Linked DNA regions of Saccharomyces cerevisiae S288C. The gene in region 3 interacts genetically with the main gene of each other region. Each region holds a gene or a part of one and is shown on either strand. Other genes may lie near its edges.

Region 1 (8,344 bases), on a different chromosome or scaffold from region 3:
GCTTGTGCAGAATAATCTATGTTGGCTGGAAAAGTTTTTGGAAACATTTTTTTTTTTGCGGGCATAAAATAAAAACTCCGCTGTTCATCGCTTCCTACGCAATGTTCTTAGCCAAGCAAAAAATTATAGTTACAATGTTTGAGGTTTCTTCCGTTCTAGAGAAACTGCCGCAGAATATTTTACTGTTTCACTACCCTCTTCCTTCCAAAATGGGAAATAATTTATTAATGTCGTTCTTAACACAAAGATCGATCGATGAAAAGGAAATTGATGCATTATTACATCCTAATGCGGTCTATCGTTTCTGCAATATGAGAACCACATTCAGAACATTATCCTCATATGGCAAATAAACGAGATATCAAGATACCGGACCCCCTTTTTTACAGTAGATAAACCGGAGAATACCAGAGTATTTTCCAAATATAGAAAGAAAAGGGTTATTTCTAATTCTCGCTCTCTGTTTTTGGAAGACGAAGTTATTAAGTTTTTGCCTGCATTTGGAAACCTGCTGCGATTTCCTCGATATTGAAAAAAAGTAAAGGCCACAAGAAAAAAATTTTATAGTTGCCTTGGGATGACAAACAGCTGGATATTATTATTATTGGCAGTAGCCCTAGTATGTTGTAAAAGAGTTATTTACAAGATTTTCTTTTTACGAGGGCACGTTATAACGTTGGACTCAAGGGGAAAGTTTCTAAAGGCACAAATAAACATTATGGGCTTATGGAAAAGGTGCCAGTGACGTGATGGTTACGCCTCGCCATTCATGTTAAACGATGTAAATTACTTCTATTACAGGATATTTTCTTGCCTTCGTTTAGCGTATTATCAGCCCTTTTCTCTGTTTTACAAATAAGGAAAGCGCGACGTCAGCCAATGTGAATACCGTTTATGGTTCAACCTTGTCTACATTTAGCTACTTTTTTTTCTTTTTCGAAAGCATTGATGCGTTTGCTCGGTGATTACATCATAATTAGTGAACACACGCAGCAAACCGTGATCACTGCGAGTATTCTACTCTTGTCATCCCAGACTACAAGTAAATCATACTATCTCTTTACAAGCTGAATGGAATGGGGCTTAGCCGACTGGAAGGATAGGCTTGCCAAGGAAAAACAAAGAAAAAAAGGCGAGTGGATTTAAGATTCAGCGACCGCCTGTCTTCCCTTCCTTTTTCACCATAGTTGACATAACACTTTATCTTGTCTTTATATCTCTTCTCGAAGCACTTATGATAACCGACTTCAAAGTCAAGGTACATAATTATTCAACGCCTCTAATTTTTCACTTGTTATGAAGCAAGTGCTGAGACAACTGGCCAATCGATGTTATAAACAGGCAGAACAAAAGAAGTAAAGATATTACTCTGTTACGTAATATTAAGTAGTGCCGCACTATACATGTAGATATGCATATACTGTTATGGTAAAAGGAATATGCAAAGAACTAGACATTTCTGATCTTTTCTTTTCTTGGTTATGATCATTAGAATGGTAGAGTCTTGTAGAGAGGAAAAAGTAGGAGGTGACACCGTATATTTTGGGCAATATAGTCATGGAAAGTGATATCAAGCAATCATGCAACGTAAACATCAACTTATTCCCGTTTAAAAGTGAATTTTGATGGAAGTTTTTCAAACCAATCCAAAATTGGATCATTGTCTTTCGTGTCGACATATTCGCCATCCTCGATGTATTCCACAGCAACAGTATCAGTCAATTTAGGATCCCTTAGACATAAGGAGAATGCAATTAATGGAACACAAAATACTAAAGCCACGATAGTTTCCAATCTTTGAACGTATTTGTAAGCGTTCATTAAGGCATTCCTTTGTGGGGTACCCCAAGTATAGGTTTCAATGAAAGTATATGGAGATTCGTAGGCAGTTGTGGCTAGAGCAACATCACCCATTCTCTTCAAAATTTGTTTGTACAAAGTCTGAGTCCAAATGGCACCGGAAACTGCGGAACCGACAGCAGAACCAATTCTATAGAGGGTATAGTTTAAAGCTGTAACTGTCGCCATGTTTTCATGAGAGACGGCAGATTGTACAGAGACGGTAACTGGGTAAGTGAACAAAGTAGTGCCCACACCCCAGACACATAATGCACCAATAATACCTGAATGGGACTGACTTCCACCTCTAAAGTGGTACAATAAACCCATAGCCACCATCCATAGCGCGCATCCAAACATTATGAATGGTTTCAATCTCGTACATCTTGTTACAAGTAAAGCGAAAAATGGAGAGGCCACAGTAGAGACAAATGAAGATAATGTGGCAATTCTGGTTGCAGATTTAACGGATTCATTGACGGCAACAATCATAACCGTGTACAAATAATCAGCGGCCATATAGTAAATAAAATCAATCAGGAAAGAAATACCCATAGAAGACCATACAGCCCTATCTTTGACCAGCCTATATGGAAGAATTGGATCTCTAGCGAATCGATATTCCCAAATCCATAAGATAGGGATCAAAACAAAGCCAAGAACAAAGGGGCCGATCAATCTTGAATCATTCCAGGTAGTTTTGACCCCACCAGCCAAGGTCAGTGGGACCAAGATACAACCTAGGGAACAACCCATCAAAAGGACACCAACGACATCTAACATCCAAAATAATTGCTTTAAGATCTTAATAAAACCATGTTCTTGATAATAGGACTTCTGGCCCTTCAAAGCGTGCCATTCAGGAGTCTTTCTGGCCCTCCATTGCATGTGCAACATACACAAAACGATTGGAACACATGATAGGGGAAAGATGAAAGCCCACATACCTACATCCCAAGACCAGTTGACAACAGGATTGGCTCTGGAAGTGATATTACCAGCAATCCATGTGTTGATGATAAAAGGCCAAGTCGGGACAAATTGATACAGCAGTCTCCACTTTAAAGATGAAAAATCGGATAGGATAATCAAAAGAATAAGGATTACACCCACATAGCCAGCATTGTAGAAAATGGCACCTGCAGCGTATCTTTGAACATCATAAGCTTGTGATTGAATAATTGTACCCACAACATATAGGATGACAGCACTAATGAAAAGGTATAGTCTACCAAACACATCAGACAACCTAGCGTATATGATTTGCGAAGCGGCACTGACCACAGCATTAATGACGTTGATTGTAGACAGCAGAGAATGCTCACTATAGGATGATGTGGCGTAACCAGTGTAAATATAACGGATGTTACCGTCCAGTCCATAACCGTAGCCACATATGAAAGCACTCAAAAGTAAAATCGCTTGTAAGTACCATTTATTGTAAGCAGAGCCAATGATTTCAGTCTGCTGGATAATTAGGCTCCTGTTCTGTCTCAAGGCATTGTATTTTTCAGATAACTGAGGGAGACCATATGAGTCGGAGTTGGAATCGTTATGAGTCTCAGGATTCAACTCGTGTTCCATTCCCATGAAGACATGTTTCTTTTCCTCCTTAACAGGATCGCGAGAGTGAACAGACTCCATTAGTACGTTGCTATGCAGTGGCTTGAACTACTGTCCATATATTTTTAAGAAAGAAAACAAGAGATATAGTGAACGAAAGCAAAAAGAGAGCTATCGAATGTTTCCTCCCCTATATACAATTATTCCTGAAATCTTCAGTTCTATGCATCTTGCATTACTTCATGTAAACTGTACTCCGATTTGCTTGGCCTTTTTTTCTCTTTGACACTATTTTCCTAACGATATGTGCTTGTTATATCACACCTGCTTTTATGGGTGCATTTTGATAAATTTGCAATCCCAAACAGGAAAGAAGTGAAAAAGGCCAAGACATATGTGGCTTTCTAACAAATACAGGCACACAAATTTCGTAAGAGAACAAGTCCTAAAGATGAACGTTAATGATAATATACAATTGTCTTCTCATTTCTGTTGATGGATTTTCATTCGCAGGTGTATTTTTCCATCGCTTCGTGATAGAGCTGCCAGTACGCTTCATCGCGGTCGCTTACATGCGTGATATTTAGGGGATCTTTCATTGGCTTCCGATCAGATAATATGTATCATTAGTCAGCGGAAGTTACAGGTGGAAACCCTCCCCACCTTGATAGTTGTCTTGATTGTATAGGCCTGTAATCTATTACTATTATTCTATTGGAGTCCTGCTCGTTGTTCGTTCAAGGCGAATGTGCCTGCGATGAGTTGACTATGAAAAAGAAAATTTTTCAACTTGAACTTGACCATTCCAACAAAGAAGAAATGATGGAAGTAAAAAAGACTAAGGAATCAAGCTTGGTGAAGCTACCTCGTCATTTAATTAACGAACTTCTGCATGATCACCCAAACTGAGCTAGATAACTGCTTACAATGGGCTCAAAATAATGGAGCCTTCATCGATCCGAAAATCTCTTTTAGGATTACAGAGGATGCTGGTGTTAGTGCATTTGTAAACGAAAAATTCTCTCCCAAACCCGACCAAGCTTTGATTAGGGTACCCGAAACTCTGCTGATCACTTCCCAGCAAGCTTTATCAGAATTTTCCCAGGCTGCTAATGAAAGGAGTCTTTTGAATTCCGTGACACAGTTGTACTTGTCAAAGTTGAAATTTGGCACCGATGCAGTTCACCTGAAATCCTTTTACAAACCATATTTAGATGTGCTACCCTTGCACCTTCCACAACCATATTTTTGGTCTACTGATGAAGTCATGAATTTGCATGGTACAGACGTGTACTTAACTATGAGAGATACGCTGAACAAACTAGTAAAGGAGTGGAGGATGCTGTTCCAAGCTTTATCTATTGAACACTCTTCTCAAGATAAGCAGTTCTTGTCTTTATTCCAGGAGAATAAAGACTCTGCCGTAGTGCCGTTGGAACAGTTCTGCGCACACATCAATGGATGTAAACTAGAAGATTCGGAATGGAACTCGTTCGTGGCGTATCTTTGGTCGTACTGCATCTTTAATTCTAGGGCATTTCCTCGTGTCATTTTAGGCAGGGCCGGTACAGACCGCACCAATCTGAACGAAGGATTTTTGTATCCAATAGTAGATTTATTAAACCATAAAAACGATGTACCAGTAAGATGGGAGATGAATGAACAAAATGAACTTTGTTTCATGTCGCAGACTACCACATTTAGTGCACAGGATGAATTGTTTAATAATTATGGTAATATTTCTAATGAAAAATGTTTGTTAAACTACGGGTTTTGGGATTCCTCGAATAAGTTTGACTTCTCTAGGTTGACTTTAAAGCTACCATCCACCTTAGTTAGCGGTTTGCCCGTGGATTTTAACAAATCAGGTAATTTTGTTACTGACGATGGAGAAACTACCATTTTACAATTTAGTTTAAAAATTTCTGAACCATTACCACCGGTTCTACTAGCGTTATTTGCCTACCTAAGTAAATTAAAGTCTGAAGAAACTCCAACCGTAAGGAGCGTATTGGAAGGTATTGATCAATTAACATCTGTAGTATCCCAGAGATTGCTGTTTTATAAGAATTTTAAAATTAAAACTTCTTCGACTCAAAAATTACGCCCTCATGTTATTAAACTAATCAAACTATACTATCAAGATAACAAAAAAATTCTGAACGCCACTACTGAGAAATTGTCCGTTTTACAAAAAAAAATATATAGCAATAATAAGGAGTTTTCTCTGTCATTCAAGACAATTTTTAAAAACGACAAAATATTTGCCAATTCTCTCTTACTGGTATTTGGTGCTATAAATTACGAAGATTTGATCACAAAAGACTGTCTTAATGACGCATTGTTGCTCTGGATAGTCAAATTAATCAACGATAAAAGTAATAATCAGGGAGGTTTCATTAAACAAACCTTCAAAGAAGTTAGTGATTCAATTGTCATTGAAAAAGAAGATGTTATGGAGTTTTTGCCGTTCTATAAAAAATACTTCCCTAATTTATCGGAGAGAATTCCAGAAATTTATAGTGTCGGTGATTGGGGCATAAGACAGTTCATTGTGGCAGATACTGCGATTGATAGATTGGTTTGGATCAGGAAATCAAATAAAGAGCCTATATTTCTAATGAAGAAGGCATACGACTTACAGATTTAGCTTTGATCTGTAGCCTAAGTATAAAATTCTACGTATGTATATATTTACATGCAATTTTTTCTTTTTCCAATTCATGTTAATGTTCTTCATCATTTGATAATAGGCCAATGATATTATCTACTATCTTCTCCTTTTGAGGAGAAGCTGCTTTCACTTCCTCGTTGCTTTTCTCTTCGTATAAATACATGAATTTCGACTTGTCCAGCATTTTTTTATCAATACAATGCATGTGCCCATGAAGTTCTACCTCCGACAAATCTTTAACAAAATATGTCGTTATTTGTGTCATGAATTTCAGTAGGGTTTGAAATATTTCGGGTATGGCGTTCTTCTTATCCAGAATAACAATTTTGTAGTTTGCTGATAATGTTATTGGACGAAGCTGGATGGGCCTATTTACGCGGAACTTTTCGCCATATATTTCCTGTTCGAAGTATAAAAGTTGGTTGGCCAATTTCTTTAATCCGTTTGCAGATTGTAGCGATTGTTCATTCGCAAAACCAGGTTCTATTGTTGCATTTATTGACTCAGTGAAACCCACCAACTCCATTAAAGTTGGTCTTAAATCATCTTGCATAAACTTGTACAAGTTTGGCTGGAAAATTCTAATCATTTTCGATTTTGTCAGCACGGTTTGCAAAATTAATGTGATGTGTTCAAATCTTGATAAAGTCGTTTCATCATTTTGGAAAATAGAGAATTGGTTCCATTTCATTTCTGAAATTACCAGTGCGGAATATGTTTGTAGGTCATGAAGAAAAGAGTCGTATTTTGTCTTGTAGTTGATCAGAGAAGCTTGGTCCGTGGGTATTTTCATGGACTCGGTCTCTTGATATTGCTTCCATATATATGAGTCCCAAACATTCCAACTAAATTGAAAGGAAGGCGCATTATCGTTACCAGAGAAGGAACGGATGCTTTTCTTGTTACGTTGTAAAATGGTGAATATATTGTAGAGAATGAAATTTTTGCAAAATTCAGCCCTCAATTGCCGGATGGAGAAGTCGTTTGATAATATTGTAGCTCTTAAAATGTCTCCAGGGCACGTTCTGTCTTTGTTTGATTGTTTGCTCCACAATGTCTTATGGCTAACCGATCTTTCTAAAAGTTGCTTCAAAGTGACGACATTACCACCAGCGATTCGAGTTGTGGCACTGTTTGCATCCAGATAGAATGGTTTACCCTCTTCGTTCGCCAGTATCCGACCAGCGTTAGCCTTCTCAATGCGCTTTCGTTCATTCAAGGTGCAAAGTGGCGAAGCTATCTTGGTCTTCAATTTGTCTACCTCAGTAACGAAAAATTCTCTATGTTTATCTACAAAGTAAGGGAAAATACCAATTCCATCGAATTCCCCAATCATCGCCTCATCGGAAACCTGGAAAAGAGGCAAGGGCTTTGCATTAGCTGGGTTTACAAACATGGGTACCTCACCATTATTTTGTTCCAAGAGTCTATCGTAAGTGCTCTTCTTAACCCCGATTCCCCGACAAAAGTTTGAAAATATCGACTTAGGCCAAATTACACGCTGCAGTTTCAACTTATCATCTTTGCATCGTACCCTTATTAATTGTTGCCACTCGAAAGATGGCTTGAAGTCCTCATCCATTTCGCTGAACAACTTCTCGTAGAGACTTAAGGGGTGGTCAAACATAGGCGCAATCCGTTCCCAGTGTTGGATCCTCTTCTTCGAGGATTTTTGAGTTAGATCTGTTCTAACAATCTTGAATGCGTGTTCGCGAGGGGCGTTTATATCACGTAATAGCAGTTTTTGCAAGTCCGTGAGTGAAATATTATACAGTACTCCTTCAAGATCACAATATTCATAAGATAAGTTTGTCTTCTTAAACGCTTGCTTACAGCGAGGGAACACCTGATGTGTGATATTCTCCATGTTGAACTTATACCTGTAACGAGAGGAACTGCCCTGTCTCCTCAATGAGACCATGAACAATGTTTGCCAATTCACCATTTTGGTCACTCTGTCTCAAACCTTTCCTTCAGCGCAGCCTTACTCCTTCAAGAGAAGCCTTCATTGTCCATTCACTTAAGCATAATTTGTCATCTTCAATGCAATTGAACTTTCACTAAATACACCCATACACACCAATCTTGGATTCTACTCGGCGGCAATCTTCACTCTTTCCTTTGTTTTATCATTTTCTATTCCACCTTTAGTTCCCCAACTTCACCTCTTATCGAACTATCAACACATTTGACTATCATTTTGGCAAATTCACTCACGTGAGGGCGTGTGCTAACCATGCAAGGGTTATGGCATGCGCATCCATGTGG
Region 2 (7,572 bases), on a different chromosome or scaffold from region 3:
ACTTGCGAACCATAACCTTTACCAGAAGAGTCATCGTTACCGGCAGCCAAGTCATTTGCATCTTCGCTCCATTTTCTCACTTCTATTTGACCAGTTCCATCCTCAATAGTTAAAAAAATATTTGCAGTATGGTCTGTAATGTTTCTCACCACACCTACAAAACAAACGTGATGAAGTTCTTGGTTATGCGAAACGAAGGGGCCGTCCTGAATATCCTGTTTGGACTCTAGAATTTGTTTGATCGTCACAGGTGTCAAGGTGTTAACTCTAGTGTTAGTTTCCGACTCCCCACTACCTGGGCGGGACTCAGAGTTCTCAAAGCCACCGCCCGTTACTGATGAATATTCGTTATATGGTTGATAGGCTGTATTGGAATCCCATCCATTGTTAGTAATTTTAACATTCGCCAATAAAAATAAAAAAAATGATGCAGAAAAGAGCAAATCCTCCAATTCCTAGCACTAATACATACTTGCCATTATGTATATGCTTAAACTAGCCTGTTCTAGATAGTCGCTATCGATTTTGCCACATTACTTCCACCTTAAGTTGATATAATATTGCTTATTATAAAGGAAAGAACGCGTTTCCTAACGCGTTTCGTATATGGCGATAATTATCTAAGAAACTTCGCATCGTGAAAAAAAAGATGAAAATTGAAAATGGAAGCTCATCGAGGCCAAAGGAATTGCTAAAAAGAAGCTATCAGACCAGGCAAAAAGTAAACTAGTGGTTGCAAAATTATGGAGACGTTATTGCATGCAAAATTATTGCTGTCTGCAGAAGTAGAATCTCTGAAAAGTGGTTCTTTCGACCAGACATATGTGAAAAAGGCTGAACATATCATCAGTGGTGAATCATACCAGCTAGTACAGCAATTTGTGGACAAATTTAAGGGAAAAATTAGTATTTCGGGAGAAATATCCACATCTAGTGTTATTGCTGCTCTAAATGACTTTCTTAACGTTGAGGTTTTCAAAATGGGCCAAGAAAATGAGATGCTATTTTTGGCTATTGCCCTCTTACAGACCTTTATTCAAAATAACTACACCGGCCCAGCAGCTAGGTTGAAAGCAATCTCAGGTTTGTTTGGCAAAACTGGAATTGAAATAGGAGCAGTTAATACAGCCCTTTCCCGCTCATTAGCCATTATGGGCCAGCCTGCCTACGAATTTATGGATGATCCATTGTATTTGGTTTTATCACTATTATTACTTGAAAGGATAACCGGCCAAAAAAGCTTATTTGATGTTACCCCGGATCAAGAAATTCCGCTACCTATTATCTCTGCTGAGTCTACTCCTGGATTATTAGCTGTAGCTTATTGGTGGTGGGCAAGAGCTCTTTTGACGCAATTGTCACTGATTCCAGAACCTTCTGGGTTCCAAGCTAGTGTTGCATCTGCAATATATCAGTCTGCTGACCTTGCATATGCGATAACTAAGGAATTACCGGAGAGTATTCACGAAGATTTCAAAAGAGAACTTTGTGCAATGTACTATCTAGAGAATGTCAAATGTTCATTGGCCATCAACACAGAACATTTGTGCCTGCCATCCTTGACCAGAGCGAAAAAGATAACAAATTTTGAATTTGTAATGACGGGTGCACGCGCTACTAGAACTAAATATCAGCAAAAGGCTCATGCCGGTTTGATCATTCTTGCCAAATCCTTCACATTTCAAAATTTTGCTTTGAGAACGACATCTGCTACACCAGAAACATTTGCTTTAGAGTCCGATCTATTATTGGAGAAGCCTCATTTTGAGTCCATTGCTGATGAACCTCTAGACGAGCAAATTTATAGTAAAAGACAAAAGGTAGACCTAAATGAAGGTTATGAAGAAGATAAACTATTGCCATTGGCACTACGTCAAGAAAATATTCCAAAGTTGTTGCTGGATTTGAACCCTAACGATCAACCTACCCTATCTGATTACGACAACATCCAGTTGCTGTTACGTCTTTACACCATAAAGAACACAACTCCGGCCAAGGATCCTCTTGTGGAAGAAGAACTTACTGCTTTGCTTTCTAGAATATTATATCAAAACGGTGACAAAAATTGGTCTATTTTCGCCCGATCATTATGGGAAAGGTCAATTATTGAGACAACAAAGGCTAAAACTATTGAAAGAGGACTTTTACAAATGCAATCCCTCGTAGAAGAATTGGATTTGAAGATTAAGAGTAAATTGGTTCCAAGTTCAAGCGAAATCAATGTTGCTAGCAGGCTGTCATACATCCACCAGCTGCCGTTCATCCCTAGGTGGCAATTGGATGCCACCTTAGCTGAAAAATATATGTCGCTGGGTATTTTGAAGTCCGCTGTGGAAATTTATGAAAGACTTGGTATGGCATGCGAGACTGCATTATGTTATGCCGCTGTTGGAGATGAAAAAAAGGCAGAAGAAATCCTTCTTCAAAGAATAAATGAAAATGATTCGGATGCCAGGGCTTACTCCATTTTGGGTGATATAAAACAGGATCCATCCCTATGGGAAAAAAGTTGGGAGATTGGAAAATACGTCAACGCAAAAAATTCCCTTGCAAAGTATTACTTTAATCCTCCTCCAAAGTCTGGAGCACAACCAAATTACTCTGCTACCTTGAAACATTTAAATGACTCGTTAAGGCAATACCCATTAAGCTTTGAAACGTGGTATTTTTATGGTTGCGTTGGATTACAATGTGGTAAAATGCAGATAGCTGCGGAGGCATTTACCAGATGTGTTTCATTAGACCCTTATCATGCTCTTTCATGGTCAAATTTGAGCGCTGCATATACGAAAATGGATAAATTGAAAGAAGCTTATAGTTGTTTGAAAAGAGCCATTTCATGTGACGCTCAAAAGAACTGGAAAATTTGGGAGAATTACATGCTTGTTGCTGTTAAGTTGAATGAGTGGGAGGATGTCTTAACTGCATGTAAACAATTAGTCAGTATTAGGAGGGACAAATCTGGCGAAGGTTCCATCGACTTACCAATTATTGAAAAACTAGTAGAACTATTAGTGACTAGTGAATATCCAGAGGAGCCGCAGCAATTATCTTATTTTCAAAAGAGCTGTACTGAGTTTATCTGTAACACTTTACCTCAGGTAATTACAACCAGTGCAAGATGTTGGCGACTGGTCGCAAGAGTAGAACTTTGGAGGAAGAGACCATGGGCCGCCCTAGAATGCCACGAGAAGGCTTATAGGGCCATTTCTCACAATCCTGATTTAGAAGTTGAAGAAAAGGTTTGGAATGATACAGTGGATGCTTGTGAAGATTTGGTGGCTGCCTATGAATCACTTGGTGAAATGGAAGGTAAATATGGGCCAGGCAGTCTGGTTTGCAAAGACTGGAAATACAAATGTAGATCTACTATCAAAGCTCTAATGAGTAAAGGCAAAGGCAGATGGGATGACTCTCCTGGTTGGGATAGGCTAGTGGAAGCAAGAAGCCAAATATGAAGAGCACCTTTCATGTATAATCTGTGTATATTACGTAATGTTTGTATAAATAGATACATATGGACATGAATCAAGCATATCTAATAGAAGTTTTTATATTTTATCTCCTTGGCTGGGTGGTCTCATCTGTGAAAGGAGAGCCTCAATTATGTTGAGCTTGTTTAAAACTTTACACTCAAAATCTTCTTGCCTTTTCTTTATCACCTCGAGTTCGTTGTGAAGATAATCTAGACATATTTCCAATTCCATATTAGAGTCCGACCACGATTGCTCAGCAGCCATTTGTGGAGGCAGTACTGTCTCGCTGAACCTATTTGTACCCTTGTTTATCTTAGGGCTTTTGATGACTTTCCCGACGTCGTTATCCTTAGACAGAATCATGGGGATTGTGTGAAGAGTAGGCGGAATTCCAATCGTTATTGAATCCAGGGGCAGCGGTTGTGAGCCTGAATGCTCATCGTCGGAGCTGTGGTTATTCGGATGTTCAGCGGATGATAATTGTTGAAACGGATCAGGCCCCGGATGACTTTTAATGAAAGAAGATGATGATAAGGATGAAGATGATTCATTTCCGAATTTAGTTCTTGGTCTTGGATGTTCTGGTGCTTCGTCCAAGAGTGCTCCCATCAGCTTCAACTGGGAAGGAGAGAATTGGGCTCGATCTGCGCTGAAGAGGTCCTTCAGTCGACGAAATTTGGTTTTTAACGTCCTTGATTGTCTATATCTTGACCCAGTCTGTCTGTTGTACTCATCGAGCACCCTTTGCCAGCTATCTTGTCTGTAGGCATATGGTTTCAGATGAGGTTTGTGCCGTATCAGTAGTCGTAGAAGCAGCTCCACAGGATCCACCGATTCATCCATTATGGTTGGCTCCGCCTAAACCTTTCAAAGTATCGTTAAACCATGTTGTTATCAATGGTTCAACTCACCCGAATGGAAATAACGCTTATTTTGACGCCGTAATCGAAGGATGTGAAGAACTTATCAAGACTTGAAAATAGAGAACAAAAGAGATTTAAGAATAACTATGTGGAGACTAACCAGAAAAATCGGCACTAGAATCCATATTTCTAATCAGCTGTCGCCCATTTTTAACAAGGCAATTGGAACAGTTCCTGTTTTTCGTTTTTATTCTTCCAGCCCAGAGCAGAAGTATAGAAAGAAACTTTTGGAAGAGGCTCAAAAACAAGGTTTTAACAGCATAGAAGAGTTGAAAAATCATTTGAAAGAGACTATAGAGTCTAAGAAGCGGGAATTTAATAAAATCGACCCCCTGAAAGAACTAGAGGATTACCAACAAAAAACTCAAATGGAAAATAACAACTCCAAGCATTTGATGACGAAATCAAGAAGTCCTCTCGATCCAAGTGCTCCTAAAGTTCCCTTCAAAACATTGGACTCTTTTTTGGATGTTGGAAAACTGAAGGACTTATCGAAACAGGAAGTAGAGTTTCTTTGGAGAGCAAGATGGGCACAAAAAGATAATACATTATGCGCTGTGATTCCTGTCTCCGTTTATGATAAGATGATGGCAAATGCCAGGAATAACCCTATATTCGTGTTGCCACTTCCTAGACAAGTTCAATCTGAGGATGCAAAACCGAACGAAGAACAGGGAATGGAACTACACTACATCCAATGGCAGTTTGTCGGACCCCAAACAACACATTGTATGATGACTTCCCTAGCAGAATACAAACTACACCAGGAATTTGCAAGGCCACATACTACCTTGCAGTTCCATTCTGATTTGGTCAAGGATAAGGGAATTGTTTTTATGAATGGCCATGTTGAACCGGATACAAACGTGAATGTACAGGATGCACAGCTGTTATTGCTAAACGTGCAAAGGTTTTATGGTGCAATGGGTGAAGAAACTCCAGTTGCTAAACAGAGAGTGCAGTTGTTAAGAGATTTCTCTAAGGCCTCTCCGGGATTCACCGTCGAGAAATTGATTTCGCTATCACAGTCCATGGAAAATTAACGAAGAATTACTTCCGTATACGTATATATATATATATATATATATTAATGACACCTGTAAATAAAATACGTACTACATCATCTGCGACAAGCGTACAGTTTCTTTACACAGTTATCAGCATGACTCTTGTATTTTCATAATGAAAAATGAAAATAAAAATTTTAGTAGATGAATATAATACGCAGAAAGAACAGGCTAAAAAAGTACGAAAAGCAACTTCATTATATTTCCGCATTCATCCTTCAATTATGGCCAGCAAGACTTTGAGGGTTCTTTTTCTGGGTCCCAAAGGTACGTATTCCCATCAAGCTGCATTACAACAATTTCAATCAACATCTGATGTTGAGTACCTCCCAGCAGCCTCTATCCCCCAATGTTTTAACCAATTGGAGAACGACACTAGTATAGATTATTCAGTGGTACCGTTGGAAAATTCCACCAATGGACAAGTAGTTTTTTCCTATGATCTCTTGCGTGATAGGATGATCAAAAAAGCCCTATCCTTACCTGCTCCAGCAGATACTAATAGAATTACACCAGATATAGAAGTTATAGCGGAGCAATATGTACCCATTACCCATTGTCTAATCAGCCCAATCCAACTACCAAATGGTATTGCATCCCTTGGAAATTTTGAAGAAGTCATAATACACTCACATCCGCAAGTATGGGGCCAGGTTGAATGTTACTTAAGGTCCATGGCAGAAAAATTTCCGCAGGTCACCTTTATAAGATTGGATTGTTCTTCCACATCTGAATCAGTGAACCAATGCATTCGGTCATCAACGGCCGATTGCGACAACATTCTGCATTTAGCCATTGCTAGTGAAACAGCTGCCCAATTGCATAAGGCGTACATCATTGAACATTCGATAAATGATAAGCTAGGAAATACAACAAGATTTTTAGTATTGAAGAGAAGGGAGAACGCAGGCGACAATGAAGTAGAAGACACTGGATTACTACGGGTTAACCTACTCACCTTTACTACTCGTCAAGATGACCCTGGTTCTTTGGTAGATGTTTTGAACATACTAAAAATCCATTCACTCAACATGTGTTCTATAAACTCTAGACCATTCCATTTGGACGAACATGATAGAAACTGGCGATATTTATTTTTCATTGAATATTACACCGAGAAGAATACCCCAAAGAATAAAGAAAAATTCTATGAAGATATCAGCGACAAAAGTAAACAGTGGTGCCTGTGGGGTACATTCCCCAGAAATGAGAGATATTATCACAAATAATATGTTATATAGTCTTTTTATTTATGTATCCTAAAATCTCGTCAAAGCGCACTTTTATATGCTTAAACCTGGCAATGTGGAACTCTTGATGTTTGAATCGATGCCTGGGATTTCTTGACGCGGTTTCTTGTTGATGAATCCATTCATGTTTGGTAACGCATGTGGTTCAAGTGTAGCTGGTGGTGGCGGGGCCGCACCGAATTCACTCTTCTCTCTCACAGCATTGATGTCGTTATTGATGCCAAAAAACCATCCATTTATCTTCTTATTGTTATAAGTTGGATCATCATATGCATTAGGATCAATTGGCCTCGCTCTAGTCCAAAATCTTATGGTTCTATCCTTAGCTGCTGTGGCAAATATATGTCCTACTGGATTATATGATAACGAGGTGATACACTTATCATGGGCGTATGGAATAGTCAAAATAGGTTCGTTTAGATTTTGTAAAAGATCAAAATGCTTTAGCGAGCCGTCATAGCACGCCAGAGTGAACATAGATTCATTTATTGGGTGCCATTCTAGTGTCATATAATCCGTTTCATCTCTTACACACATTAGTTCCTTCATACTGTATCTAATGTCGAACACACGACACGATTTATCTTTTGAAATCGCCATTAATAGATTTCCCTTGGTGGGTTGAAATCGCGTCTTCAAGACAGTATGTTTGAACTTCAGAATTGATGATATGCAGTTTCCGGAACGCGGATCCCACAGTTTTACTAAATTGTCCTTAGATGCGGAGGCAATTAACCCCATCTCGGGATGCCAATCACAACTTTTCACGTCCCAGTGGTGCCCCGATAATACTCTTTCTTGTTTGCCATTGCTGAAGTTCCAAATCTTCAAGATATTATCATCTGAACAGGTAACA
Region 3 (6,959 bases):
AAGAGAAATCTTTCGGTTTGGAAAAGCTCACTGTGAGGTTCCTTGGAGCCAATAGTAATACAGCACAATCCAAGGAAAAATCTGGCCTATATGCAAGGAAGGAGAGATAGTCAAAAGCATTCTTTCCCCTAGAAGTTGGTGCATATATGGCATCGTTAAAACATATTACCCCCAAAATTTCTTCTCTAAACGATGTGCTTGGCCTTTGTTTTGGTTTTTGATGTCGGTCGTTTGAGGCCCCTTGCGGAAAATCGAGATCGCCGAATGGCACGCGAGGGAAGGGAAATAAGGTTTAAAGGCACTGAAACAATAGGCAAGAAGTAGGCGAGAGCCGACATACGAGACTAATGTGTCCGCGTTTCTAAGGCCACTTTTCAATGAAACGGATATTGATATGCTAGTAAAAGGACGAGCTCAAGAGCGAAAATATAAGTAAAGAATTCGAGTGCACTTGTCTCCATGCAGCAAGATTTCATATGAGTCTTTTTTATCTTTTTACTTTTTACATTACACGATATGCACTTTATGAAAATTTAACGAGGTTGGAAGCCGGATAATCAACCAAAATCAGGCACGAAGGCACACTCGTATATGCATGTTGTTGAAACTCTGTTACGCTGAACTAACAATCACACATGTAGAGGTCACCGGGAAAAGTTGCGACCCCATGGAAGGTCGATCTCTTCGTTTGGCTTTGCTTGGCTGGCGGCATTGCGCTTCTTCGCTTATACCCGTCTCTTGACGCTCGAGCTCGTTCATTGAGATACCTTTATTCTTGCACATTTTCTGGCTTTTTTCGCTACTCGGGTACATGTAATCATGCACACAGAAGGTGCTGTAGGGTGAAAGTTCCTTTGTGCTGTCGTTTGTTTTTAATGCCAAACTTTCTGGTGATCAATAACCACCTCTTTTTCCTTCAGGAAACCTTATTATTGTTCTTGGATAGTACTAGGAAGTATATAAGGAACCTCGATTTTGGTATTGCACGGCTATACACATCTAAGAAACTTTGTATAAAAGGTGGCTACCCTATTCATAGCTTGATATCAATAGGCCATCTCATCACTTTTTATTGAAAAGGAAAGGAGGGAAATATATCTGATTCAAATTACTTGTTTGCTTCTCTTTAAGACAAAAGCATAGATAATTTCAGCGTGGAACGCCGGAATAAGATTGGTACCCTCGTCAGAAAGTTACAAATACCGCTTCATCTTCAAAATGACTTCACCGGAATCACTATCTTCTCGTCATATCAGGCAAGGAAGGACATACACAACCACAGACAAGGTCATATCGCGGTCGTCGTCGTACTCATCTAATAGTTCAATGTCTAAAGATTACGGCGATCACACACCCTTGTCCGTCAGCAGTGCAGCTTCAGAGACATTACCCTCACCTCAGTATATGCCGATAAGGACATTCAATACAATGCCTACAGCTGGCCCAACGCCTTTACATTTATTTCAAAATGACAGGGGCATTTTCAACCATCATTCTTCATCAGGCTCATCAAAAACGGCATCAACAAATAAAAGAGGAATAGCAGCAGCAGTAGCATTGGCAACTGCTGCCACCATACCATTTCCACTGAAAAAACAGAATCAAGATGATAATTCCAAGGTCTCGGTAACACACAATGAATCATCGAAAGAAAATAAAATTACACCCTCCATGAGAGCAGAAGATAACAAACCTAAAAATGGTTGCATCTGCGGTTCAAGTGACTCCAAGGATGAGTTGTTTATACAGTGTAACAAATGTAAAACGTGGCAGCACAAGTTATGTTATGCTTTCAAAAAATCAGATCCAATAAAAAGAGATTTTGTTTGCAAAAGATGTGACAGTGATACGAAAGTGCAGGTTAATCAAGTAAAACCAATGATATTCCCTAGAAAAATGGGAGATGAGCGATTATTTCAATTTTCATCCATAGTGACAACTTCAGCATCGAACACAAATCAGCATCAACAGTCTGTGAATAACATAGAGGAACAGCCCAAGAAACGTCAACTTCATTATACCGCCCCAACAACTGAAAATAGCAATAGTATACGGAAAAAATTGAGGCAAGAAAAACTGGTAGTATCAAGCCACTTTCTGAAGCCACTACTGAATGAGGTAAGTTCTTCCAATGACACGGAATTCAAAGCAATAACAATATCAGAGTATAAGGACAAATATGTTAAGATGTTTATTGATAACCATTATGATGACGATTGGGTTGTTTGTTCTAACTGGGAAAGCTCAAGGTCAGCTGACATCGAGGTAAGAAAATCATCAAATGAAAGAGATTTTGGAGTCTTCGCTGCAGATTCTTGTGTTAAAGGTGAGCTAATTCAAGAATATTTGGGCAAAATTGATTTTCAAAAAAATTATCAGACAGATCCAAATAATGACTATCGTTTGATGGGAACGACAAAACCTAAAGTACTTTTTCATCCACATTGGCCTTTATATATAGACTCTCGAGAAACAGGCGGATTAACAAGATACATAAGACGGAGTTGTGAGCCCAATGTGGAACTAGTAACGGTAAGACCGCTTGACGAAAAACCAAGAGGAGATAATGATTGTAGAGTTAAATTTGTTTTAAGGGCTATAAGAGATATTCGTAAGGGAGAAGAGATAAGCGTAGAATGGCAATGGGATTTGAGAAATCCTATTTGGGAGATAATAAATGCATCTAAAGATTTGGATTCCCTACCGGATCCCGACAAGTTCTGGTTGATGGGGTCAATAAAGACTATTTTAACAAATTGTGATTGTGCATGTGGGTACTTGGGCCATAATTGTCCAATAACTAAAATCAAAAACTTTTCTGAAGAATTCATGAGGAATACGAAGGAATCCCTATCTAATAAATCTTACTTTAATACAATAATGCACAACTGTAAGCCATAAACGAAATTTTAAAATTAATAGTATTCATTTTAATCTTTTTTGAAAGCTTAATTTTATCATCATAATTTTTCTTCCAAAACTTCAATCTTGGTATTTTTTTTCGCATTGGTCTTCATTTTTTTTCTTTTGTTTTTAGCTTTAATGTTGAAAGCGTGAATATCAAAACACTTTTATAATAAATCACCACTTTGTAACTATAGAGAACAATTCATGCTTTATTTATAGATGCCACGATTAAGCATCAATCATTAGTTGAGAGGATCCTTAACGTTAAAATCCACCGCACTTTTCCTTTCAAAAAGCTGCATTGTTTCCATAATTCATTTCATGGCAGGTTAATGACTTATTTGATATGAAGAGTGAGGTTCTTATCAAATGAAATTCCTACATATGAATTTTTTAAAAGAGAGTTTTTCGTTTTACGATATTTATTTACTTCATCATCGTTTATCATTTTTCACGTAGCAAATTTTGAAGCTTCAACTTATAACTCATTTGCATCCGATTCACATATTTCAGCTGACTATAAATTTGGCAACAGCTTCGTGACTTGAGCATAAGAAAAACATAGACTTGTTGGATATAAAATATGGCTCACAGGGCTTTCATACAGGTTATAATCACAGGAACTCAAGTTTTTGGAAAAGCATTCGCCGAGGCGTATAGACAAGCGGCTTCACAATCAGTGAAACAAGGTGCTACAAATGCATCTAGAAGGGGAACAGGAAAAGGCGAATATGGTGGTATTACGTTGGATGAGAGTTGTAAAATTTTAAATATTGAAGAATCCAAGGGCGATTTAAACATGGACAAGATTAATAACAGGTTTAACTATCTATTTGAGGTTAACGATAAAGAAAAAGGTGGAAGCTTCTACTTACAGAGCAAAGTTTATCGAGCAGCAGAAAGGTTAAAATGGGAACTGGCTCAGAGAGAAAAAAATGCGAAGGCGAAAGCAGGGGACGCTTCAACAGCGAAACCTCCTCCGAATTCAACAAATTCATCTGGTGCAGATAATAGTGCAAGCAGCAATCAGTAGTCAAGGAAGCCTCCATCATTACGTCACAAGTGTTATCGAAAGCATGCAGCAGTGCATATATTTTCCTAGTTGGTTGCTTCCTGTACGTTAGGAATCTTCAACCACCATCCTTGTATTTAGTTAATATTAGTATATGTACCAAAGTAAATATACTCAGATGCCATCTCGATATACGCACCGTACACGAAAATGAAATTAAAAAAAAAATGTTGGAGCACAAGCAAGGCAGCATCAGAACGTACCGTCAGTTGGTACCAAGACAAGTCCATCCCCGTAGGCACTACAAATTATGGGAATGAGAAAGTATACAAAATATAAACTGTCTTATCATGAAGAAGAGTCGCTTAGGAATTTAAACTTTCAAATCGCATTACGCAATTCTCTAAAAACGCGAACCTTTCCCTGATATGTAATCAGGGAATTTCCTCAGAATAATATTCGATCTAAGAAACCGGAAACGAAATGAAAATTGTTACTACTTTGTTTAGGAGTAGTCAAAGTTCATTCAGCTATGGGTTATGATGAAATGATTTAAATTATTCTCGCTCCAGTATTAACTTATTACGTAATATGAGCTTAAAAGAGCAAGCTCCTCATCACTCACACTCCATAACATGAAGAACGAAAATAACCTAATCTTTAGGTTTCTATGGTATAATGAAATTAATATTATCTAAAGATAGTATTAACCACTACTGATGTTAGCCTTTTGAAAAAAAATCAAAAGAAAAATTTGAATTTTAAAGAAGAAGTAACAAAGGGAAGAAGTTTTTGCCAATCGGACAACACTAGCTCTATTTATACTTTTCTGTTGCTCCAAAAACAGGAAAGAACAAATTTTTCAATTTAGTGTGACCCGGCTAATAATAAAGAGGGAAGTAATAGGTAGGGTTTTACTGGCAAGAAATCCATATTGTTGCTCCCGAATAATATTATAAATTCTTGTAATTAATACAAAGTTTCTAGATCCACCTTGTTTAAAAATATAAAGTTATGCTTAAAATTCTTCAGGGAAGAAGGTTTTCAATGGATGATTTTACATTTTTGACGAATTCCTGAGAAACTAAATTACAATGTAAAACTGTACATAAATATAAATATTATTGTTGATACGGAAAGTAAAATAAAAAAAAGAAACGCTAAAGAATACTGAATTGCCAACCTAAGTAAAAAATAAGCGATAAAATCAAAGAAACGGACAGAATGCATATAAAAACTGTAATCAGTAATAAGCCCAAAAAATAGTGATCAGTCCATTTCAAAAATTGGTAAAAATTGTCCCATTACGAGAATTGGGATATTAAACGAGTCCCTTTTTACTGTCCAACAACAGGCACACTTCAAATAAAGACCGTTACTTAATAATAAATTGCACTTAGTAAAGATTGCTTTTCCATCCGTAGTAAAAGAAAACCCTTCTGTAATTTTTGACGAGGTAGAAGAACATGCGTTCAACATCAATAGTTTTTTCCTTTTATTGATATCATTGTAACCAAATGCCAGCAATTCGTTAAATATTTGAAAGTAATTCGAAACGCTTTTATGATCCAGATATTCAAAAATAAAGGAGGTGCGGTCTAATAGTAAATTTTTGTTAAAACCTGTTAAAGAATAGAATTCGTTACTGACAAAACAAATCTCGCCTGATCTTCTCCAGATGCACATCGGTGTGCAGCTTACTAATTTTGCCATGTTCTCCAAATCTAATAAAGCCCTTTGCAAGGTAACTTCCTGTAATAGCAAATCCTCTTCAATCATATTGGATGTTAACGAAATGAAAATTGGAGCATATCTTTCTAGTATAGAGCGTATTATAACTTCTAAATCATATCTCAAATTATGCTTTTGGGTACTGTGTTCGTCTTTTACTGAGGCAGATTTATCAATTTCAGCTCCTTCAAGAAATTTTTTTCTTAAAGTAGTTAGCAGTTTGGTGTATGCGAGCTTGTAATTATGCGGTTTTATTAAACATTTATTGTCATATAGGTCTTGAGGAGTCTTTACTAATTCACGAAACTTTGAAGGTGATATGAAATCGGTATCATGTTTCTCCAGATCTGCATCGGAGTGACTAGAACTGTCACATTCGCTTTCCAGTTTGGCGTTATGTGATGGGTGTGTATTAGCGTTTGCTCCACGATTCAAATGCAGCATGTCTAAAGATATAAAGGGCCTAGACACTACTTCATCATATGTATTGAAAGTAGAAGTGGAATGGCCGATCGAGGAGTCCTTTTGGTCATTCACGCTTTTTGTCGAGTTTAAAAGGTTCGTTAAATGCAATGACGAATTTCCCCGTGTAGATGCGCTAGGATTGGGATATTCTGATTCTTGGAGGGAAAATATCTGGGAGTTATTCGGTAAAAACGGCGTTGAAATATCTACTATATCCTTTAATTTCATGTATTCGTCATTGCACCACATACTATCAAAGTGAATATTAGTTTCGTCATCGACATCATCGTCACTCTTATTACTATCGTCCATTCCAGAGTGCACAGGAACGTTTGAAGTAGCAACCAAACAATTGGTAGCCAGCGGCTGCTGCATTGCTTTATGTTGCTCTAGGAAATGCGACTTTAAATTGAGAGTACTCTTCCGTACGGTGGGTATGATGGGGTCATTCATTAAATGTACTGCTTGTGAAGCTGATATATTATTAGAAGTATTTTCTAAGACGGTCTGGCGGTTATTCGTATTGAAGTTCGTAATACGTGGAATAGATCCAGCGCTTTGAAAGTTATCATTTATATTATACGTATATTGGATATTCGTATTGTGGGCAGGTGTTTTGCCTGGTTTTTCCTGATCTGAAGATAGAAAATCTCGCTGCAGATGTACGCTTGAGGGGGATACCGTCTTCGACGGCACATCATGTATTACCAGCCTCTTCCCCAAATTCAAGTATGGTTGTGTTCCATGCTTCTCAATTCGTTTTCTTGATTTCCTTTTCTTATCTCTGCAAAACTTCCCAATATTTCTTTTTAAACAGTTTTGACATGGCCTCCCTACGTCACAC
Region 4 (7,485 bases), on a different chromosome or scaffold from region 3:
TTTATTAGATGTGAAAGTAGAATTTTGCTCTAGCGACGAAGCACGAAAAGACACTATCTTATACTCAAGCTGCCACTTCTTCAGGGTCTCTCCTCTTTTCTCTCCCCTCTTTATTACTCCTCTCAACCTTACAATCAAAGTGAGCCATTTACTTCGAAAATGCGGAGCAACGGCGGGTTACTGGTGTTCCAGCAAGAGCTGTAATAATTCAATATAACTAGTAAGAATAGCCAAGAAAGCCAAAAGACGAGCTTGGATCGATGCGAAAATGTGGTCGCTCCACACCAATTACTAGTTATCATTTAGCGCTGCCGTGTGGCGACTACACTTCAGCGACCTATGTAGCTTACATAATGTCGGGATGATTTCTCCCGCAGCTAGATCTCGCCAATGGAAATTCCAAAGCCAAAGAATATCCTGCTTTGTCAGGAATTTCGTAAACCATGGTCAGGCCCAGATTTGTAGTTTTCTTTACCAACGACAGCGATGAGTTATTTGGTCCTGAGTACTGAGTAATATGACTCTCTTGGCATCCAGGGGCCGGCCCAAGCCGGCTGTTACCAATTTAGGAAAGGACCCTGGAGCGAAAAGTACTTAAGCAGAGACTATTGTACACGCTCGCTAACTCAAGAACATGAATTTCGCATTCATGCAGACGCAAACACACACGTATATCTACAATTATGACTACTGCTGTTAGGCTTTTACCTTCACTGGGCAGAACCGCCCATAAGAGGTCTCTCTACCTGTTCTCCGCTGCTGCTGCTGCTGCTGCTGCTGCAACTTTTGCTTACTCGCAATCCCAAAAGAGATCATCGTCTTCTCCCGGGGGTGGTAGTAACCACGGATGGAACAACTGGGGGAAGGCAGCTGCTTTGGCTTCCACTACACCGCTCGTTCATGTCGCCTCTGTCGAAAAAGGGAGGTCATACGAGGACTTCCAAAAGGTGTACAATGCGATTGCACTCAAGCTGAGGGAAGATGACGAATATGACAACTATATAGGCTATGGGCCCGTATTAGTCCGTCTTGCTTGGCACACTTCAGGGACCTGGGACAAGCACGACAATACAGGCGGGTCATACGGTGGTACATACAGATTCAAAAAGGAGTTTAACGATCCATCCAATGCGGGCTTGCAGAATGGCTTCAAGTTCCTGGAGCCCATTCACAAAGAGTTTCCCTGGATCTCCTCGGGTGATCTGTTCAGTCTAGGGGGTGTCACTGCCGTGCAGGAAATGCAGGGTCCCAAGATTCCATGGAGATGTGGTAGAGTCGACACGCCAGAGGATACTACCCCTGACAACGGGAGACTGCCTGACGCTGATAAAGACGCTGACTATGTCAGAACATTTTTTCAAAGACTTAATATGAATGACAGAGAAGTAGTTGCTCTTATGGGGGCTCACGCTCTGGGCAAGACCCACTTGAAGAACTCTGGATACGAAGGGCCATGGGGAGCCGCTAACAACGTCTTTACCAATGAGTTTTACTTGAACTTGCTGAATGAAGACTGGAAATTGGAAAAGAACGACGCGAACAACGAACAGTGGGACTCTAAGAGCGGCTACATGATGCTGCCCACTGATTATTCTTTGATTCAGGATCCCAAGTACTTAAGCATTGTGAAAGAATACGCTAATGACCAGGACAAGTTCTTCAAGGATTTTTCCAAAGCTTTTGAAAAACTGTTGGAGAACGGTATCACTTTCCCTAAAGACGCGCCCAGTCCATTTATTTTCAAGACTTTAGAGGAACAAGGTTTATAGGTCACTGAGGAAAGATATTATTTATTGGTTATATTTCGTATTATTTATCTATTTATTATATTTATTATTATTTAGGCTTATGCTTTTTTCTGAATATCATCTAATACGTTTGTACGGTACGTCTATGAAAAATGGAAAGCCATACAATGGTATATCATAAGGGAAACTATGTTCAAAGAAGTGTTAAAAACATTCAGAAAACATTGTCCGCCTCTTCAAAATGTTTACCAGTGCCATTAGATTGTCATCGCAAAGACTGTTCGCTAGTCAACCTTCTGTCACCGCTGCGGCATTGCGCTCGACTGCTACAACCTTACCCTTAAGATCATATTCTCAGCCCGCATCCCTTCAAGACTCCAGTATCTTGACATGGTCTGATTTTTTCAAATTGAGGAAACAGCAGCGTAGAATCAATGTTGGTTCTTCGCTGTTTACTGCTCTTTTGGGCTGTAACGTTTCATGGGCTTACCTTTCCACAATGGAAATAGACCCGACTCAAATGCTATTCGGATTCGACCCATTAACTGTAATTTCAGCTGGGATAATAGCCTCTGGTGCACTAGGCTACTTGTTGGGTCCGATAGTTGGTTCGCAAGTTTTCAAACTTTCCCATAACCAACAATTGGCACAGTTCAACAACAAAAATAAAGAGTTTCTAAAACATATCATCAATAACAGGGTCGATGCCTCTTCTCAAAGTTTCAGTAATCCTGTTCCAGATTATTACGGTGAAAAGATAGGTTCCTTAAAGGAATATAAGCAATGGTTAAGAGATTGTCACGCTTACGCAAAGAAAGCCAAAGAATTTTTGTGATTGAACGTGTGATCTTTTCCTTCTTCTCAGACTCTGTATATATACATATATGAATAAAGTAGTGCGATATATAACGCTACTAAATAATTCGAATGAAATAGGGAGGAAGTGAAAGGTATGAATATTGTATATGTCCTATACGTCTCTTTTATCTCTGACTTTAAAAAAATGATACGAAATCCACAGGATCAAAAATATCTTCAATCACGTCAAACTCTGAGACAATTAAATCATTAACAGGCAAAGCGGGTGCTAAAGGTTGTTGTAGTAGTTCTTTTTGCGGAATTTCAGCTACTTGTTCATTCGTAATGCTTATGTTGGTATCAACTTCAGTATGTTTAGCTAATTGTGAACTGGCGTGATCATAAAAGGATGAAAAAATATTAAACCTGTCGGAATATTTCTCCATATCCAAGAATTCTTGCATTTCCTTTATGCGCATTTGAAACTTAAATCCTGTCATATCATCGTTGTATTTACCTATGGGATAAAACTCATTGTTCCATATACTTAGAATATCTGGCCTATACCCATCATATTTTTGTACTGTCTCCTGAAATTCTAGTATTATTGGACAGATGTCATTTAATCTCATATCGTTGTAATCTATATAACTATCACCGTTATCTTCTAGTTTCAATTCATTCAGCAAAAATTTTAAAATAATTCTCCATGCATCTTTTTCACATGAGCGATTCAAGATCTTGTAGGCAATTTTAGCGGTGAACATTTTTCTAAAACAACGATAGTACTCAAAGCCAAATTCGTTAAAATACACAGACGAGACCCCGTAAAGAAATTCTATCATTTTCTTCTTGTCGGCGTACTGAATTGTTTTGAAGCGGTCTCCTCTGAGAATGAATGCCGGAACAATGACCAAAACTTTGTTTGCGACAATTTCCACGATTCTATTGGTATAAAACTTTGTCAATGAATCCACCTCTAAGGCATCACTGTTAAAAAAGTAATTGTAGCACTTCTCTGAGATATGAATGACCATATCCCACAAATCTTGGAAACTCTTATAAAATTTTGTAATATTGCAGTCATATTCATAAAAGATCATTTCTCCGTGCAGCAAACTTAGTGAGAATAAATCTATTATCCATTCCATTTCGAAATCAAAATGACGCATTGTTTCTTTTTCGTTTTTCGACAGGCTTTTTAAAATATGAAAGTTTCTTTTTAAATCATTTATTAGTCGGTGCAACAAGTTCAAATCTACCTTTCCTGGATCATCGTTCAACGTATCGTTTATCTTTTTCATCAAGTTATCCAGGGTTAACATTCGTATATACCATGTGGGTGTATCTGCTTCTTCTTTGAAATGGCACTGCAAGGTTTTCCCAATTTGACATTCTTCACCGCTAATAAAACACATCTTCCTGTCCCAAAATAAAACATAACTCCATATCTTTCTGAAAACTGAAATGTAATCGCTAGGTTTCATTATATCGTATGAAGGCCTCGTATGTCGGTTTATTTTAAATGAATATTTTTCTGGATGAGAGAAGCAATACCAGTTAATGCCCATTTCTTTACATGATGATATTATTGTCCCCATTAAGATTTGACAATATTGAGTTTCGGGTCCATCGCCATCTTCAGGGGCACACCAGTGCAAGAACCTTAGTAATATGAGACATTGCAACTGTAATAAATTACATTTTCTGAGGACCTTCGTCTCGAACAAATAGTGTTTAACAAGAGCCAAAAACTTAGAGGTATCAATTTCTTGAAGAACCGGGTATATATATGGAGTTAGCTTCGAAAACTGGACAGAAAGTCGGCATATTTTAATAATCAACAAGATTATGCAGAAAACCATATGATCGTAGTGTTTTATAGAAATTGGATTCCCTTTCTCGACTATATTTTGATAAAATATCGTTATTTCATGACGCAAAACTTTCATATCGAAAATCGGTATCATATTGTAAATTTTTTCTTCAAAAAGTGCTAAAACCTCACTTTCAAGTATTTTTAAAGGAGGCAAATAATCCTTTGCTAATATAGTTTCTGAGCTGAATTTTTTAGCATTATTTTCTCTGTATTGAGCGAATTTGTTAAACAATGATTTGTGAATAGTCTGATGCATGCGGAAGTTATTGCCCTTACCAACAACATCATCGCTAATGTGGCGTTCGTCATCAGCATCGAAAGTGGATAAAGCTTCGAAAGATTTAGGCAAGCTTCCATTTTTCACATTATTGCCGTTGCTTCCCAATTTATCCATCATTTTTTTGATTGCGATACTTCTAAATGTTACCATTGCTTGGAGATAGGGGTCGCGATTTTCAATTGCTCTATCCGTGAACAGACCAAATAAATTATCAGCAGACCTTTTGGTCTCTAAATAAAACCCATTAGGGATGAGGTCAATAAAAAATGGAGTTTCTTCATGAATTGGTAGATAATAAAGTGATGATTGATTTTCAAGTTCTCGTACTCTTTGCCAGTGATCTTCGTCTTGTCTTGTCTGTGACGATCTTCTTTTCTTAATGAAACCTGGACTTATTCGTTCCGCAGGAGTTGATTGTTTCCTCAGAGGGTCAGCATCATTCAATGAAGGACTGCTTTCAGGTTGTCCAGAGCTATCGGTGAGATAGACACAGCTGTCCACATCTCCCAGTCGTACACATGTTCCACATGGTTTCGTTCGATCGCACTTACTTTTCCTTTTTTTGCAATTTGTGCATACTACAGTAATTCGATGTCGTTTTTTTGTCCTAACTTGGGAGTCATATCCCATTATGAGATCAGTTGTCAACTAAAGTCTGGTATCAATTGGTTTCTAGTTTCTTTCTTCTCTTCATAGACTCATAACACTGCAAAATCGCAACAATAAATTCATGACTTATTGTTATGCAAAAAATTACCCGAATGTGAAAGATTAATAAGCTCATCGCAGTCGCAGAAAGAGTGAAAAAAATACCTAAGAATGCCTAAATTAGCTTAAACAAAAGTCATTTCTAGAAAGCAATGAAAAAAGGGCAATCTAATGATACCACCACGAATCGTTCCATGGAGGGATTTTGCTGAACTAGAGGAGCTGAAACTTTGGTTTTACCCGAAAAGCAAAGGAACCATTGAAGATAAGCGACAGCGTGCAGTGCAAAGAGTACAGAGCTACCGACTAAAGGGTTCCCAATATTTACCTCACGTGGTGGACTCTACAGCACAAATAACATGTGCGGTATTGCTAGACGAAAAGGAAGCGTGTTTAGGAGTACATCAGGATTCTATTCCTATCCGGTTATCGTATGTAATGGCTTTGATTCGGTTTGTCAATGGCTTATTGGATCCAACGCAACAATCTCAGTTCGCTATTCCCTTACACACATTAGCTGCTAAAATTGGACTGCCGTCCTGGTTTGTTGATTTGAGACACTGGGGTACACATGAGAGAGATTTACCTGGATTAGAAATGCTTCGTTGGGCCGCCAATGAAGCGTTATCTTGGCTATATGATCACTACTGGAACGATGAGGAATTAGAAGATGACAGGGATGATGATGACGATGATGATGATACCGGTTACGGATACAGAAGAAATGATAAACTGGAGAAATATATGGAGTCATTAACTAAAACACTTGATAAATGGAAGCGACTTAGAAACGAGTTTCTGGAATACAAATGGGTGTGGGAGAATGCAAACGATAGTTTAATTACAAGTAGTAACTTTTCTGGGGATAATTTGGTGAACTATGATGCCGAAAAGAGGAAAAGTTCACACGCAAGTTCATCAGAAACTATGATCAGGGAAAATTTGCGTCAATGGCAAGAACTTTGGAAATTATCCATTTATCACAATGTGGTTCTTGAGAAATTTTTTAACAATTATGACCCACTTTTACTCAAAGTTTTAATGCTTAATTTGAACAATTTTGATTGGAAGGTCATTGAGTGGGTAGCTAGGAATTACAGAACCCAACAAGATGATAGTAATATAACGACAATTTTAAAAAGGAAATTCAATGCCTGGAAAGAACTACAAAAAAGGCTGTTAGATGTTATTATAAATAACCTTAACAATAAAAATTTTAAAAATAAATGGCAAAATTGGGAGAAACTTATTGATGAAAATGCGTCATACTTGATATTGTATTTTTGCCAATCTATGCTGGCCAAACTAGAGACTGAAAAAATTACTGGTAACTCATGGAGAAACAAAAAACGGAGAAAACAAATTGATAGCACAGTGGAAATCGAGGCAAAACTGAAGGAAAACATAGACAATTTATCATTAAGGTTTAATGAAGGTGAAATAAAGCTGTATGATTTTATTCCTGCGGAAAAAGATTCCGTTCCATTGAAGAAGGAAGTGAGTCCGGCATTAAAGGCTGATACCAATGATATACTAGGCGATTTGGCGTCTTTGAAACAGAGAATGAGCAGTTTCGGAACAGTAGGTAAAAAAAATAAACAAGAGGAGAACAGAGCTACACCAGTAAAAAATTGGTCAAGGGTTCAAAATTGGAAACCCAAACCCTTTGGTGTCCTGTAACCTGTTTCCAATGCTCGTTATAAATACGTTGTAGACTATAAAGCTGAGTTGTATGCTGCACCCTAACGTGCATGTATATATAATCACAGTCTCTTTAACCTAATATGCAAACGAAAATGATTTAATCAAAACAACCTCATACTCTATGGGAATAATCTTTCAAGATACCGGTCATATGAGTGTTAGTAATCTTACCCTTTCTTTGTCTCTTCTTTTTAACTTCAACTCTCTTTGTTTGTCTTTTGATAGTAGCAGGATCGACACTAGCAGGCTTTAGACCTAAATCTTGCAGCTTTCTTGGCAATTCTGCAAATTGCGGTAATTGCACATTTTCCCACATTTTAACAAACTCCTCGTCAATACATTTCAAGTTACCACCGCTGTTATACCAA

Evidence for each region.
Region 1: mutations in PAM16 (region 3) and EFM1 impair growth when combined (synthetic growth defect), as found in Saccharomyces cerevisiae (2 studies listed by BioGRID, with this or other methods).
Region 2: mutations in PAM16 (region 3) and ATP11 impair growth when combined (synthetic growth defect), as found in Saccharomyces cerevisiae (2 studies listed by BioGRID, with this or other methods).
Region 4: mutations in PAM16 (region 3) and PAM17 are lethal when combined (synthetic lethality), as found in Saccharomyces cerevisiae (3 studies listed by BioGRID, with this or other methods).

Annotation. Positions count from the first base shown.
Region 1 is NC_001140.6:17,489-25,832, forward strand, and holds EFM1 (protein-lysine N-methyltransferase), read left to right. Parts: upstream 1-4,294; coding exon 4,295-6,052; downstream 6,053-8,344. Other genes in the region: YHL041W (uncharacterized protein), read left to right, coding at 1-353; ARN1 (siderophore transporter), read right to left, coding at 1,600-3,483; CBP2 (Cbp2p), read right to left, coding at 6,129-8,021; YHL037C (uncharacterized protein), read right to left, coding at 8,290-8,344. UniProt on the Saccharomyces cerevisiae protein: S-adenosyl-L-methionine-dependent protein-lysine N-methyltransferase that monomethylates elongation factor 1-alpha (TEF1/TEF2) at 'Lys-30'.
Region 2 is NC_001146.8:41,194-48,765, reverse strand, and holds ATP11 (Atp11p), read left to right. Parts: upstream 1-4,485; coding exon 4,486-5,442; downstream 5,443-7,572. Other genes in the region: RFA2 (Rfa2p), read right to left, coding at 1-364, 473-479; tetratricopeptide repeat-containing protein EMW1, read left to right, coding at 744-3,458; DAL82 (Dal82p), read right to left, coding at 3,552-4,319; prephenate dehydratase PHA2, read left to right, coding at 5,691-6,695; cleavage polyadenylation factor subunit PFS2, read right to left, coding at 6,750-7,572.
Region 3 is NC_001142.9:223,837-230,795, forward strand, and holds PAM16 (import motor complex subunit PAM16), read left to right. Parts: upstream 1-3,490; coding exon 3,491-3,940; downstream 3,941-6,959. Other genes in the region: SET4 (Set4p), read left to right, coding at 1,219-2,901; GSM1 (Gsm1p), read right to left, coding at 5,189-6,959. UniProt on the Saccharomyces cerevisiae protein: Essential component of the PAM complex, a complex required for the translocation of transit peptide-containing proteins from the inner membrane into the mitochondrial matrix in an ATP-dependent manner.
Region 4 is NC_001143.9:560,397-567,881, reverse strand, and holds PAM17 (Pam17p), read left to right. Parts: upstream 1-1,989; coding exon 1,990-2,583; downstream 2,584-7,485. Other genes in the region: CCP1 (cytochrome-c peroxidase), read left to right, coding at 684-1,769; OAF3 (Oaf3p), read right to left, coding at 2,744-5,335; rRNA-processing protein LAS1, read left to right, coding at 5,585-7,093; transcription factor TFIIE subunit TFA2, read right to left, coding at 7,230-7,485. UniProt on the Saccharomyces cerevisiae protein: Component of the PAM complex, a complex required for the translocation of transit peptide-containing proteins from the inner membrane into the mitochondrial matrix in an ATP-dependent manner.